Caenorhabditis elegans: one gene and its partners. The protein of the gene in region 1 interacts with the protein of each later gene in a biochemical or structural test. Each region holds a gene or a part of one and is shown on either strand. Other genes may lie near its edges.

Region 1 (3,755 bases):
GGTGTGGAAACTCATTGGAAAATCGGAAAATCTAGATTCAGCACTCACAACTAGCTTCGGAGTGAACTGCTTACACGGTGGACACCATCCCGCGGAAAAATAAAGAGCAACAACCTAAATGTCATATTCTAAAATCTTTCACTACACACTAATATTTCGCCACCTTGCCCTTCAGAGCTTCTTCGGCAGGAACTTCAGTCAAGTCTTGCTTCAGAAGCATCACACCTTTCATGAATTCGGACATTGTTGGAGAATCTGACATGAACAGTTCATGGTTGAGTTGCAAAATACAAATAAGTTGAGGGAAAAAAAATATAATCAAGTCCATTTAGAAAATTGGAATACACGGGATTTGTCAACAATTAAATTGTGCTCCTGATTTTAAGAGAATTGGGGGGAAGAGAAAAGAGATGGAAAACAGAACGGGATAAAAAGAAAGATGAAGATCAAAATGAGTAAGAATGATGAGGAATAGTCTTTTGAAAGAATAAAGACTACTCAGCCCATGGACCAGTGGAAAATGATTGGGTTTGCGTGCACACGAAATTTGGAAAAAGTCATCGAAATGTTCTAGCTCTCGAATTTCATCAACCACGAAATGAAAAACCAGGCACGACAAAGCTTTTGGTTAGATTGAAATAAAAGATATCAGAAAAGTTGCTTCGGTGCTCGAATTTCGAGTTGTGTCAACAATCGTTGCCGCATACAGAAATAGTTAACTAAATGAAATGAGGATGGGAGGAAAAAGGAGAATAGAATAGACGACTACCACGAAGCAAGCATCTACTCGAGCATTTGCTTCTGGACGAGTTCGGCAGCATACTTCACAGCTTCCTTCTTCACTCGCTTCTCATATTCAGCCCTGTAATAAATTCATTTGTGTATTTTTTTTATAATATTCAGATAAAAAAAACTCACCTATTCTGACAGTAGATCTGATAGGCTTCAGCCTGAGCTGGATCTTCAATATTTGGATGGTTCAGCAAATCTTGAATTCCAATGAGAAGTTGCTTGATTGAGATTGACGGCTTCCAATCCTTGTTTTCATCCAGAAGAGATAAGCACACGGTACCTGAATTCAATTAATTAATTATAACTATTGGACTGCAATAATAACCTGATGGGTACACATTTGGATGGAAGAGTGGTGGCTCGAACTTGCACTTTGGTGGCGTTGACGGGAAATCGTCCTTGAAGAGCATCCGAATCTGAAAGAAAATTGAATTAGATTTATAAATATCGTTGTATTCCAAATAGCAGTTTTTGAGAGAAACAGTTCACGAATATTATAGCTCAATAAATTAACGAAAAATGATAATTTCCGAATTCTAGCTTCACATACTCTGTATAATCCGCCTTCCCAAATCGTATCCTTTCTCCCTGGGATTGCACATTCCCAATTGAAGAGGTTCAATGTTCCGTCGGCGTTCTTGACTGGTTTGGCAATGAATCCGAATGGATGATCCTGAAAATGTTGAGTTTTGGGCATGAAAACAAACTATTTTTCGATAATTTTTAGAATTTAACCGATTTAAAGCGGTTTTGTAATACAAATCGCCCCGACTTGCCATGTAATGATAAAATTCTCACCTTTCGCCAGTGTTTCCTTTCTTCCGCGAGGCGTCCTGCAGCAATTCCCGACATTTTTGTTCGGTTACACTGAAAAATATCAAATTTGTAAAAGAGAAGTGGACAGTGAAGTTTTAGGCACAACGAGAAAAGAAGAGAGAGGTAAACAAACGAAACAGCGTGTTCGTGACACTTGTCAGAACTATTTTAGATTTTTCAAACAGAAATCCGATCGATAAGAAAGAGAAATTTCTCGAAAAAGTTCAAAAATAGGATATCGCGCCAAAAAACGAAAAGGGGGGCGAGCACCGCCCGTATTATCGATCAATAAATTGCATAGTGCGGCGCGCGATTTCGCAATGGTGTCGCACACGAAAACTAATTTCGACAGAATGCAACAGAAAATTACAAAACGGTTCGCAGTTTTCGCGCGCACACAAAAGAATATTCAAGAAAATTATAAATTCGAAGGGCGCGAAATTCAAATAATATTTATTCGCGGCAAAATGTGTGAGAATGAGAGTGCCCAGTCAGTCATCCTTCTTCAAAACCTCTCCTTCCTTGCGCTCTTTCGTCGGCGAACGACTTCCGGGGCTGCAAAAATGATAACGTTTTCAAAAAATAAAAAACTTTTTTCTCACTCATCAGGCGTTCTCTCCATGTCCGGATTGTTCGAAGGTCCCGTGCATCCATAATAGTACGGCTTGTATCTTCCTCCGAACAACCAGTCCATGTCGTATAACGGAATGTATTCTCTGAATTAGAAAGTTGGAAATTTAATTATTTTAAGTGTCAAAATATATGCCTATATATAGGATATATATACAATAGGTGATTTTCTAGAATTCAGATGTACCTGTGATCTCTCATAACGGTCGAATAGTTGATTGTTGCTTTCAGATTTGGACTCAAAAGTCCACCGTATATCCTATTCCATTCTCTAGAAAATGTTCCAATTAGATCTATTTTTCTTGATGAACAAAGCCAACCTAGTTACTAGAATGATCACCAAAGAGAGAGTAGAACCGAAAAATGGAAAACTACGAACTAGAATTGAAGCTGCGAATCTGGAATAAAATTTTATTTTGGTTTTCCATTATTGTTTAATTGTAGAAAATAGCTAGTGAGCTCACAGAGAACAAATCGCAGAGCTCAAGAAAAGCAACGATGACAAAAACAATTGATTAGGTGGTTCGTCTGTTGCTGTACTCTTTGTAGTTGACTCACTACCATCAAGCAATTCCGTAGTGTAATCAGCCATATTTGTATGCACAAATTTGCTTCAAAGAGTCAAAAATTTAAATTTATAAATAAAAATTAAAAACTCACTTGTCTTCCGGAAACTCTATAACACCACTTTTCGAACTCATCGTAAAAATAAGAATGATTTAAATTTGAAAAAAATTTATTCATTTTTTAATTGTAAGGCAAGGCACATATGGAACGTGTAAAACGTGTACTATTTATCACAATTTCTGAGAGAGCGATATTTCCGATTTGAAAAAAAACAAAACAAAGAAAAAACGAAGGAGCACCGGGCTTCTGAGGGGGCGCCCAATGGCACAGGGGTTTAGAATTATGGCGCAAAAAAGAAGAGTTGGAAGCAATAATTACAGAAAAAAAATAAAAGATCGTTCCTAATGTCTTCTACAACACGGGAAGAAGAATTTGACAAAACGACGGCGGTATGGGTTGAGGAGGATCAGAGCCAGAATTAGGAAGATAAAGGGTCTGAGCAAGAAGAAGGTCAGATGAAGTGGGAACATCTCGGAAGCAAAGTGCATTGGGAGGTACCAGTTGAAGCCGAGAAGCTGACCGACGTCAAAAGCGATGGTCAATCCGGACCAGACTGAAAGGATCTAAGGTTTCACTAGGTCTGCTAACTGTTACTTACTGAGATAAGGAGCCGTAAGCACATGAACACAGATACTGAATAATAGGAACAAGAACAAACGGAGTTTGCTGTTTCTCACGTGCTCATATGGAGAAGTCTTCGTCACCTCGTCCTTTCTTCTGCAGAATAAGAAGAGACTCTGAAATCAATTCTATGCTTCTAGTACTGAAAGACATCTGAAACTCACAGCGAACATCTGGGTGACGATGCCGAAGGAGACAATACACGCAGTGAGTCTGATGCTGGAAATGATGCTGAGATAAGCCCATTGTGGAATTTGGTAGATCGAGAT
Region 2 (3,755 bases), on another chromosome or scaffold:
CCGTGGAGCAAGGCAATCCCGTTCTTCCGGAAAGTTGATTGCATTGCTCTGAAGAGCCAACGTCCGGTTTCGTTATCCGGGCAGAATGTGGCACAGGAAACCGATTTCTATTTTAATCAGTTGCAGAACACGTGGGAGTTGAAGAATTGAGATTTTTTGATAATAAATATTTTGAACTTAATTGAAAATTTTTAGTTTTTTGAGTGCAAATTTCAACAATATTTTCAATCTTACATGAAATAACCGTCTGAAAATAAAAATTGAAAAATTATAAAGTCCCTATTTTTATCGAAAGTTTATGAAAAAAAGAATATGAAACATTATTTTTCCTACGTTACTGGTGTCCCCCGGAAACTTGTGATTTTAAAAGCCTTGGCATCTATACAGGGGTGGGCCGCGAAAGATTTTTTCCGGCAAATCAGCAGATCGGCAAATTACCGGAATTGAAAATTTCCGGCAAATCGGCAAACCGGCTAATTGCCGATTTGCCGACTTTGCTGTAAATTTTCGGCAAATTGTGGGTTTGCACATTTTTTTTTGGAAATTTAAAAATTTCAAATTTGATCGGAAAAATTGCACTCATCCTAGGAATGCTCATACATCTATTTTTAGAAGTAGACAATTCTATGAAAATATCTAAAGAAAACGGGAAAACATTTCACAAAGGCACAGTTTTAAGGGTTTCCGTCTTACATAAAATTCCTCTAAACATTTCCGACAAATTGATAACCGGAAAACGGCAAATGGGCAAATTGCCGAAATTGAAGACTTCTGGCAAATCGGCAATTTACCGAAATGAAAACATCCGGCAAACCGGCAAACCGGCAGATTGCCGGATTTGAATATTTCCGGCAAATCTGCAAACCGGCACTTTGCTGAAAATAAAAATTTCCGGCAAATCGGCGAATTGCCGGATTTGAACATTACCGGCAAATCTGCAAACCGGCACTTTGCTGAAAATAAAAATTTCCGGCAAATCGGCACATTGCCGGATTTGAACATTACCGGCAAATCTGCAAACCGGCAATTTGCCGAATTTGTCGACGAAATATTTGCCGAACGGCAATTGCCGCCTTTCCCTGGTTTATACCTCCAAAAATTGAATAATCTGCTATAAGTTATGGTGATGATTGTTATAAACACATATAATTATATAATACACAAAATAATTGGAATGTATTTTTTTAATCCTTATACATATACATATATCCATAAGCCATCCTCTTTTTATATCTAATCAGGGCTTAACTTCTCTTGCACTATTCCCCTTCAATCTTCCTCTCTCCACATAATTCTTCGTCGTCATACAATTCCCCATCATCTCCTCACTCTTTTGCCCAATTGCCCCGCCCGTAAACCAATCATCGTTCGAGTCGACGAGACACTGTGGTGAAAGAAGAGGGTCGGGGAGGTGTGACTGTGAGTTTGAGTGGGGGTGAGCGTGCGCGCATCACACACTCTCCACTGCGACTCGCATTGATTGATTTGGTCACTCGCACTTTTTTGTTTGCTGTTTTCGTTTTTTATTTTTTTAAAATTATTTTAGTGTTTTGATCGAAAATATAATGTGAAAATTAAAGTATTTAAAATTTTATTTTAAAACCATTTTGGTTAAAATTTAGTTTTCTTTTCAAATTTAGGCTACCGGTATCTAAAAGTTTTCTGCGAATTTCTGTGAGATACGAGTTTTTATTGTGAAGATCGGGCATAACTTTTTGGAGTGTCTGAAAGTTGAATTGACAGTTTTTTTTTTAGAAAAGAAACATTTCCAGAATTTTATTGATTTTTTTGTGTAAAAAATCTACCTCTACTTATTTAAAAATTTATTTTCCTTGTGTAATCATTTTTGAAACAAAATCCCAAGTACCATACACCCCCCCCCCCCCCCCCCACTATACGAGCAATCGCGCTCCATCACGAATCTTGACGCTCCCCTCTCAGCGGGAGATTGTTTTATTGAATTTCACTGCAACATACATTTAAATTAATTTTTTCAAAAGAAATGAGTTCAAACTTGACCAGTAATGAGATGTCATCAACATCTGCAATTGTAGAGCCCCCGGAGGCTGTGAAGGGAAATGAAAGGGATAAGGTATAGTTTACAAATTTTTAAAAATAAAAATAATCGTTTCTCCACTACTTTTACACAAAACAAATGATTTATACCCAGCTCAATATTTTTTTAAACTATTTTTTATATTTTATCAAATGTTGCCCAGTTATTTTCCAATGAGATATAGGGGTTAAAAAAAAAGAAACAAATTTAGTAATTATCAACTTCAAAACCCTCTAACTTGCCGGAAAATAGAGATATGGAAAAATTGTTAACTAACACTTTGGAGTACCAAAATTTATCTACATTTTATTAGTTGACAATTTTTTGATAGCTAACCGTCCCAATAAGTTACAATAGTTTTAAAACTTTCAGTCCACTCGACGATCGACATCTCAAGTGGTTCGACCGGAAAAGCACGAAGTTGAAAATGCATTGGAAGGTGAGTATTTTTCAAATATATTATAGAAAAATTAATAATTGCAATTTTGGTGCTCAAGTTATAATATAAACTCCGTTTTGGCAAATTGCCAATTTTCAAAAAACCCCAATTTCCGAATTTCTCGGAAATTTACCAAAATTTTGTAGTTTTTTAAAGCTCTACTAGACCTTCAATTTTTGAAACTTGCTTACAATTAGTGAAAATAATAATTTTTCAGATCAATGCTCATCAAGCAGCTTACCAAAAGAAGCTCAATATTATGCAAAACTCGACAAAAAGCTAGAGGGCAAAGACCCCCGATCTCAGTTCTACGAAGCGGTACGCCTGTCCGCCGACATTTTTGCTCATAAATTCGAAAAAGCCGTGTGCTCCCGCCAAACGTTCGAGCCGACCAACTCCATCATCAAAGTGCTCAACACTGCCGAGGAGGAGATGCTCCACGAGAAGGTTGTCCCACTACCAGTCAGCTCAAAGCTCCAATACTATCTCAACCGGGGACGTTATGATACGATATTCGATCGTGATGAGCAATTGCAAAGGACTGCTGACCCGATGGCCGACGAGCCGGATCATGTGGAGAAGCGGGTGACGAGCATTTTGGAGCAAGCTTCTCGAGAGATGGAAGAAGGGGAAGTCGAGCCGGTGTTCTATGATGGATCTGATGAGGATCAGGAACTTCCGATTGATCTAGGAGCTATGAGAAATCTGCAAAGGTAGGCACTAGAGCTTCAGAACAAAAAATTAATTAGCAAATATATTATTCCCAAAAGCAAAAAGCCCAAAAAGCGCATACATTTAACCAATTTGTGGGTGGTTTTTTATACGCATAAAGCTACGTTCAGGCCGTTTTTCAGGCCGTTTTCAGGCGTTTAGAATTCTTGAACTAAGAAAAAAAATAGATATTAAAGAATGTCGTGGGATGATTGTTAATGATAACAAAACTCAATATTGCAATATGAAACGGACAATAAGCAATATCTGAGTCATGGCGGAAGGGAAAAAAGTGCGATATTTCGCACAACTATCATATGGCCTGGCTTCCAGATTTTGATCATATCAGTCTTTTCCGTGGTCTCATTACGGTTTGATCTACAAAAAATGTAGGAATTTTTTGCTCAAAAATATGTGACGTCAGCACGTTCTTAACGATACAAAATCGGTTGAGAACTCTGCGTCTCTTCTCCCGCATTTTTTGTAGATCTACGTAGATCAAAGTCTTTGAAATTTTTGAGCTTAAATTTCCCTACACTTTATCAAGAT
Region 3 (3,243 bases), on another chromosome or scaffold:
CTGCAACCGTAAAAATTGTGGAAAAGCTGACTTTTTCAGTCAAAACTGTCCCACGGGAGTAAATTTTTCGGAAAAATCGATAATTTTTTGAGTTTTGAGCTGTTAAAGCATGCAAAATGCCGAAATTTTATCGAAAAGTAGAAAAATTAGCCCCGCGGAGCTGGAAAATCCAGAAAACCTCAATTTTTCCGAATTTTCACGTAAAAATCGATATCTTCCAGGCAATCACCATCGAACCCGGCTGCTATTTCATTGATTTCCTGCTCAACGAGGCGCTCGCCGACCCGAAAAAGAGCGAATTCCTCGTCAAATCCGAAATCGACAAGTACCGCGGATCAGGCGGCGTCCGTATCGAGGATGACGTCATCATTCGTGCTTCTGGTAACGAGAATCTGAGCGATCTTCCACGAACCGTCGAGGAGATCGAGAACTTCATGGCTAGTGGAGGCGAATGGACGGAGAAGGTCATCGAATCTCGTGTCTCTGATTTCTTGTCCAAGTGATTTTTTGTCTACTGATTCTAATTTATCATCATTCCTACTACTATTACTGTGTTATTTTTTCATGTAAAATAAAATTTAATTTTTAAAAATTTGGGATTTTCCGAAAACGAAGAGTTTATTTGTAAGATAAATAAGTTATTTTAAACTTTTTTGGTTGTATAATATGATTCGAAATGTGGAAAATAGATTAAATGAGACAGAGAAACCGAGTATCTCAGTGGAAAAGGGATGGATGGGTGTTTGTTTTCGGATTAGAGTGTAGGTAGAGGACTAGAATCCGCCCAGCTGCTCTTGGTAGACCTCGATGACGTCATCGTCCTCCATCTCGAGCGTCTTCGGTGTGTCATCGTCGTTGATGCGACGTCCGTCGAAGAGGAAACTGCAAATATTTAAAGTTGATAGGAATTGGCGCGGATTTCCAAAACTCACCGAAGACTGTTGACGGCGACACCGGTTCTGTCAGCGTACGACTTCTTCAGCTTGGCCATAGAGGTTCCATACTTTACACGGAAGTGCACTTCGTTGCTGTCCTGCAATTTTTTTGGGAATTATTAACAAATTCGCGGCGAATTTCCAGTCAAATTACCTGTCCAACGACCTTGATCTTGATGTATTCGGCGTTGTCGCCTGCTTGAGCTGCATCATCGGCCATCGTTTATAGCGGGAGTCTCTGAAACGAAATTAGATTTGAAAAGAGAAAAAGAGATAGAAGGAGAGAGGTAGAGTTGCTATGGAGAATGCAACTCACACGAGTGAAAGGTATTAAGAGTGCAGAATGATGACTTTCTAGGGTATTTATATAGACGCTGTAACAAATAAAATCGATAATTACAGAACAGCTGGCTGAGCCACAAGATGCTTGAAAAATTAGGAATATCGATTGTCTGGGGAGCGCTGCGCTGAGAATTTCAAGAATATCACTGCGAAATTCAGAAAAAAAACCCATTTTTCTCAAGGAAATCCTTTTTTTTAGGATATCCAGTTCCTATCAAGTTTTCTACGTGGTTTTTCAGCGAAATTGACGAAATTTAGAAGCAAAACTTAATTAAACGCATCGCGACCGGAGAAAGAAGGCAAAAATAAATGAAAACACACGAAATGAGCCGAAAAATCGGGCAATACGCGCCTAAAAACCTTTTCGAAATGATTTCCCGCGTTGCAGAGTGTGCATGTTCACGCCGCGGTGTTTGCACACAATGCACCGCATTTCACGAGCAACACGAGGGTACGGTAGATTTTGGACAGGTTTTTGACCAAATTTGGTGCTTTTTGGACTGAAAAAATAAGAGATTTCGGCCTAAAATAGATAAATTGGTGAATTATTTGAGTTTTCAACGAAAAAAATGTTTTGAACAAGTTTTCGGAACAAAATTCAAGGTTTTCGCTTGGTTTTTGAGGAAAAACTCTAAAAATACCGTTTTCCAATATGTAACAAGGCAAACTGGATTTTAAAATATAATTTTAAGCTAAAAACTACAAAAACAATTGTTAATGAGCATTTTAGGCCAAAAAGCGATCGATTTAATTCGCGCGGTATCGTCAGGTCTCATCGTGAAATTGCAAGCGCGCTCTAATGTGAATATCGATTTTTCTTTATTAAAAATATATTCAAATTTAATGCTTTATACATATTTATGAAATCAATTAAGAACAGCAATTTCCAGTGTTTTCGACCTCCTTAACCGTCATCAACGGGCCAACGAAGAAATATCCGATGGCGTGGCCTAAAATTTACGAATTTTAAGCTTTTCTTCTAAAAATTCAAAAAAAAAAAAAAATAAATAAAACCTGCTAAAAGCGAGAAAAATAGCGGATAATTATATGTCATTGCTACCAGCATCAACGAATAATCCACAAAATTTTGAAGAAAAAATAGAAAAGAAGACGCAAAATGTCTCCAACTTGAGATGGATTCCATTGTAAATCTGCAATTTATCACCTTTTTTCGGAATTTCGTATCCTGGAATATTTTAAGCCAACTCACGGAGCCAACGATGCCAGTTTGCCACGTGGCGACGGCTCAGGCTCTTCCGGAATCTCCCAAATGCCTTCAGGCGTTGAGCAACAGCAATCGACGGCCTACAATTTTTTTTTTGGAATTCAGGAATTCCCGAAAAATAAAACACGGGTTTCTGGCTTCCCTCATAATTTGAAATGGAAGAGTTTTTGCCGAATTAGGCCATTTTGGCTCGGCCATATCTGGCGGCGCGTAGCGGCTCAATTTTAGTTGAAAAACTAAATGTGATTTGTCCGTGTGGAGTACACGACTTTCCCGTCCGGCAGGCGATTGTCAATGGAGCGCGAAAAATTCAATGAGGAAGGCCAGAACCCCCGTGATAAAATTTTAACAAAAAATCACCAATTTTTCCTTCACAGTTCTCGTCATTCTTTGCCTTCCGAATTTCAGCAATTCCAGGCAAAACGCGATGAAAAATAGGGAAATACAGGAGAAAACGTAGCCTGTGGTGTCTGTGGGCTTCCACTGACGGAAAAGGATGGGCTCTTGGATTCGAAAATGGAAATACATTTGCATCATGTCCATCATCATGGCTGCAGATTACTGGAATATCTGAAAATGCGGAAAATTTGGGGAAAAATATTTAAATCGATAGTTTTCCAATTTTTTCGGATATTTTACTCGATTCCTGTTAAATTACGAGTAACACGGATTTCTGGCTTCCCTCATAATTTAAAATGGAAGAGTTTTTGCCGAACTAGGCCATTTTGGCTCGGCCATCTG

Evidence for each region.
Region 2: of the proteins of ubc-9 (region 1) and sop-2, one has a biochemical effect on the other in vitro, tested with the Caenorhabditis elegans proteins (one study listed by BioGRID).
Region 3: of the proteins of ubc-9 (region 1) and smo-1, one has a biochemical effect on the other in vitro, tested with the Caenorhabditis elegans proteins (one study listed by BioGRID).

Annotation. Positions count from the first base shown.
Region 1 is NC_003282.8:4,648,948-4,652,702, reverse strand, and holds ubc-9 (SUMO-conjugating enzyme UBC9), read right to left. Parts: upstream 1,660-3,755; 5' UTR 1,645-1,659; coding exon 1,591-1,644; intron 1,466-1,590; coding exon 1,343-1,465; intron 1,209-1,342; coding exon 1,118-1,208; intron 1,073-1,117; coding exon 919-1,072; intron 863-918; coding exon 784-862; 3' UTR 256-783; downstream 1-255. Other genes in the region: F29B9.5 (Thioredoxin domain-containing protein), read right to left, coding at 49-114, 164-244; F29B9.7 (Pheromone-regulated membrane protein 10), read right to left, coding at 2,100-2,163, 2,211-2,324, 2,426-2,509, 2,559-2,636, 2,703-2,849, 2,899-2,939; F29B9.8 (Serpentine Receptor, class T), read right to left, coding at 3,207-3,418, 3,464-3,602, 3,651-3,755. UniProt on the Caenorhabditis elegans protein: Accepts the ubiquitin-like protein smo-1 from the aos-1-uba-2 E1 complex and catalyzes its covalent attachment to other proteins with the help of an E3 ligase such as gei-17.
Region 2 is NC_003280.10:12,337,944-12,341,698, forward strand, and holds the start of sop-2 (Polycomb protein sop-2), read left to right. Parts: upstream 1-2,000; 5' UTR 2,001-2,002; coding exon 2,003-2,092; intron 2,093-2,428; coding exon 2,429-2,495; intron 2,496-2,712; coding exon 2,713-3,208; intron 3,209-3,755. Other genes in the region: sre-52 (Serpentine Receptor, class E (epsilon)), read left to right, coding at 1-150. UniProt on the Caenorhabditis elegans protein: Polycomb group (PcG) protein. PcG proteins act by forming multiprotein complexes, which are required to maintain the transcriptionally repressive state of homeotic genes throughout development.
Region 3 is NC_003279.8:1,338,615-1,341,857, reverse strand, and holds smo-1 (Small ubiquitin-related modifier), read right to left. Parts: upstream 1,181-3,243; 5' UTR 1,156-1,180; coding exon 1,090-1,155; intron 1,034-1,089; coding exon 933-1,033; intron 883-932; coding exon 774-882; 3' UTR 593-773; downstream 1-592. Other genes in the region: K12C11.1 (Xaa-Pro dipeptidase), read left to right, coding at 222-503; K12C11.7 (Copper transport protein), read right to left, coding at 2,148-2,227, 2,292-2,428, 2,488-2,582, 2,863-3,051. UniProt on the Caenorhabditis elegans protein: Ubiquitin-like protein which can be covalently attached to target lysines as a monomer. Does not seem to be involved in protein degradation and may function as an antagonist of ubiquitin in the degradation process.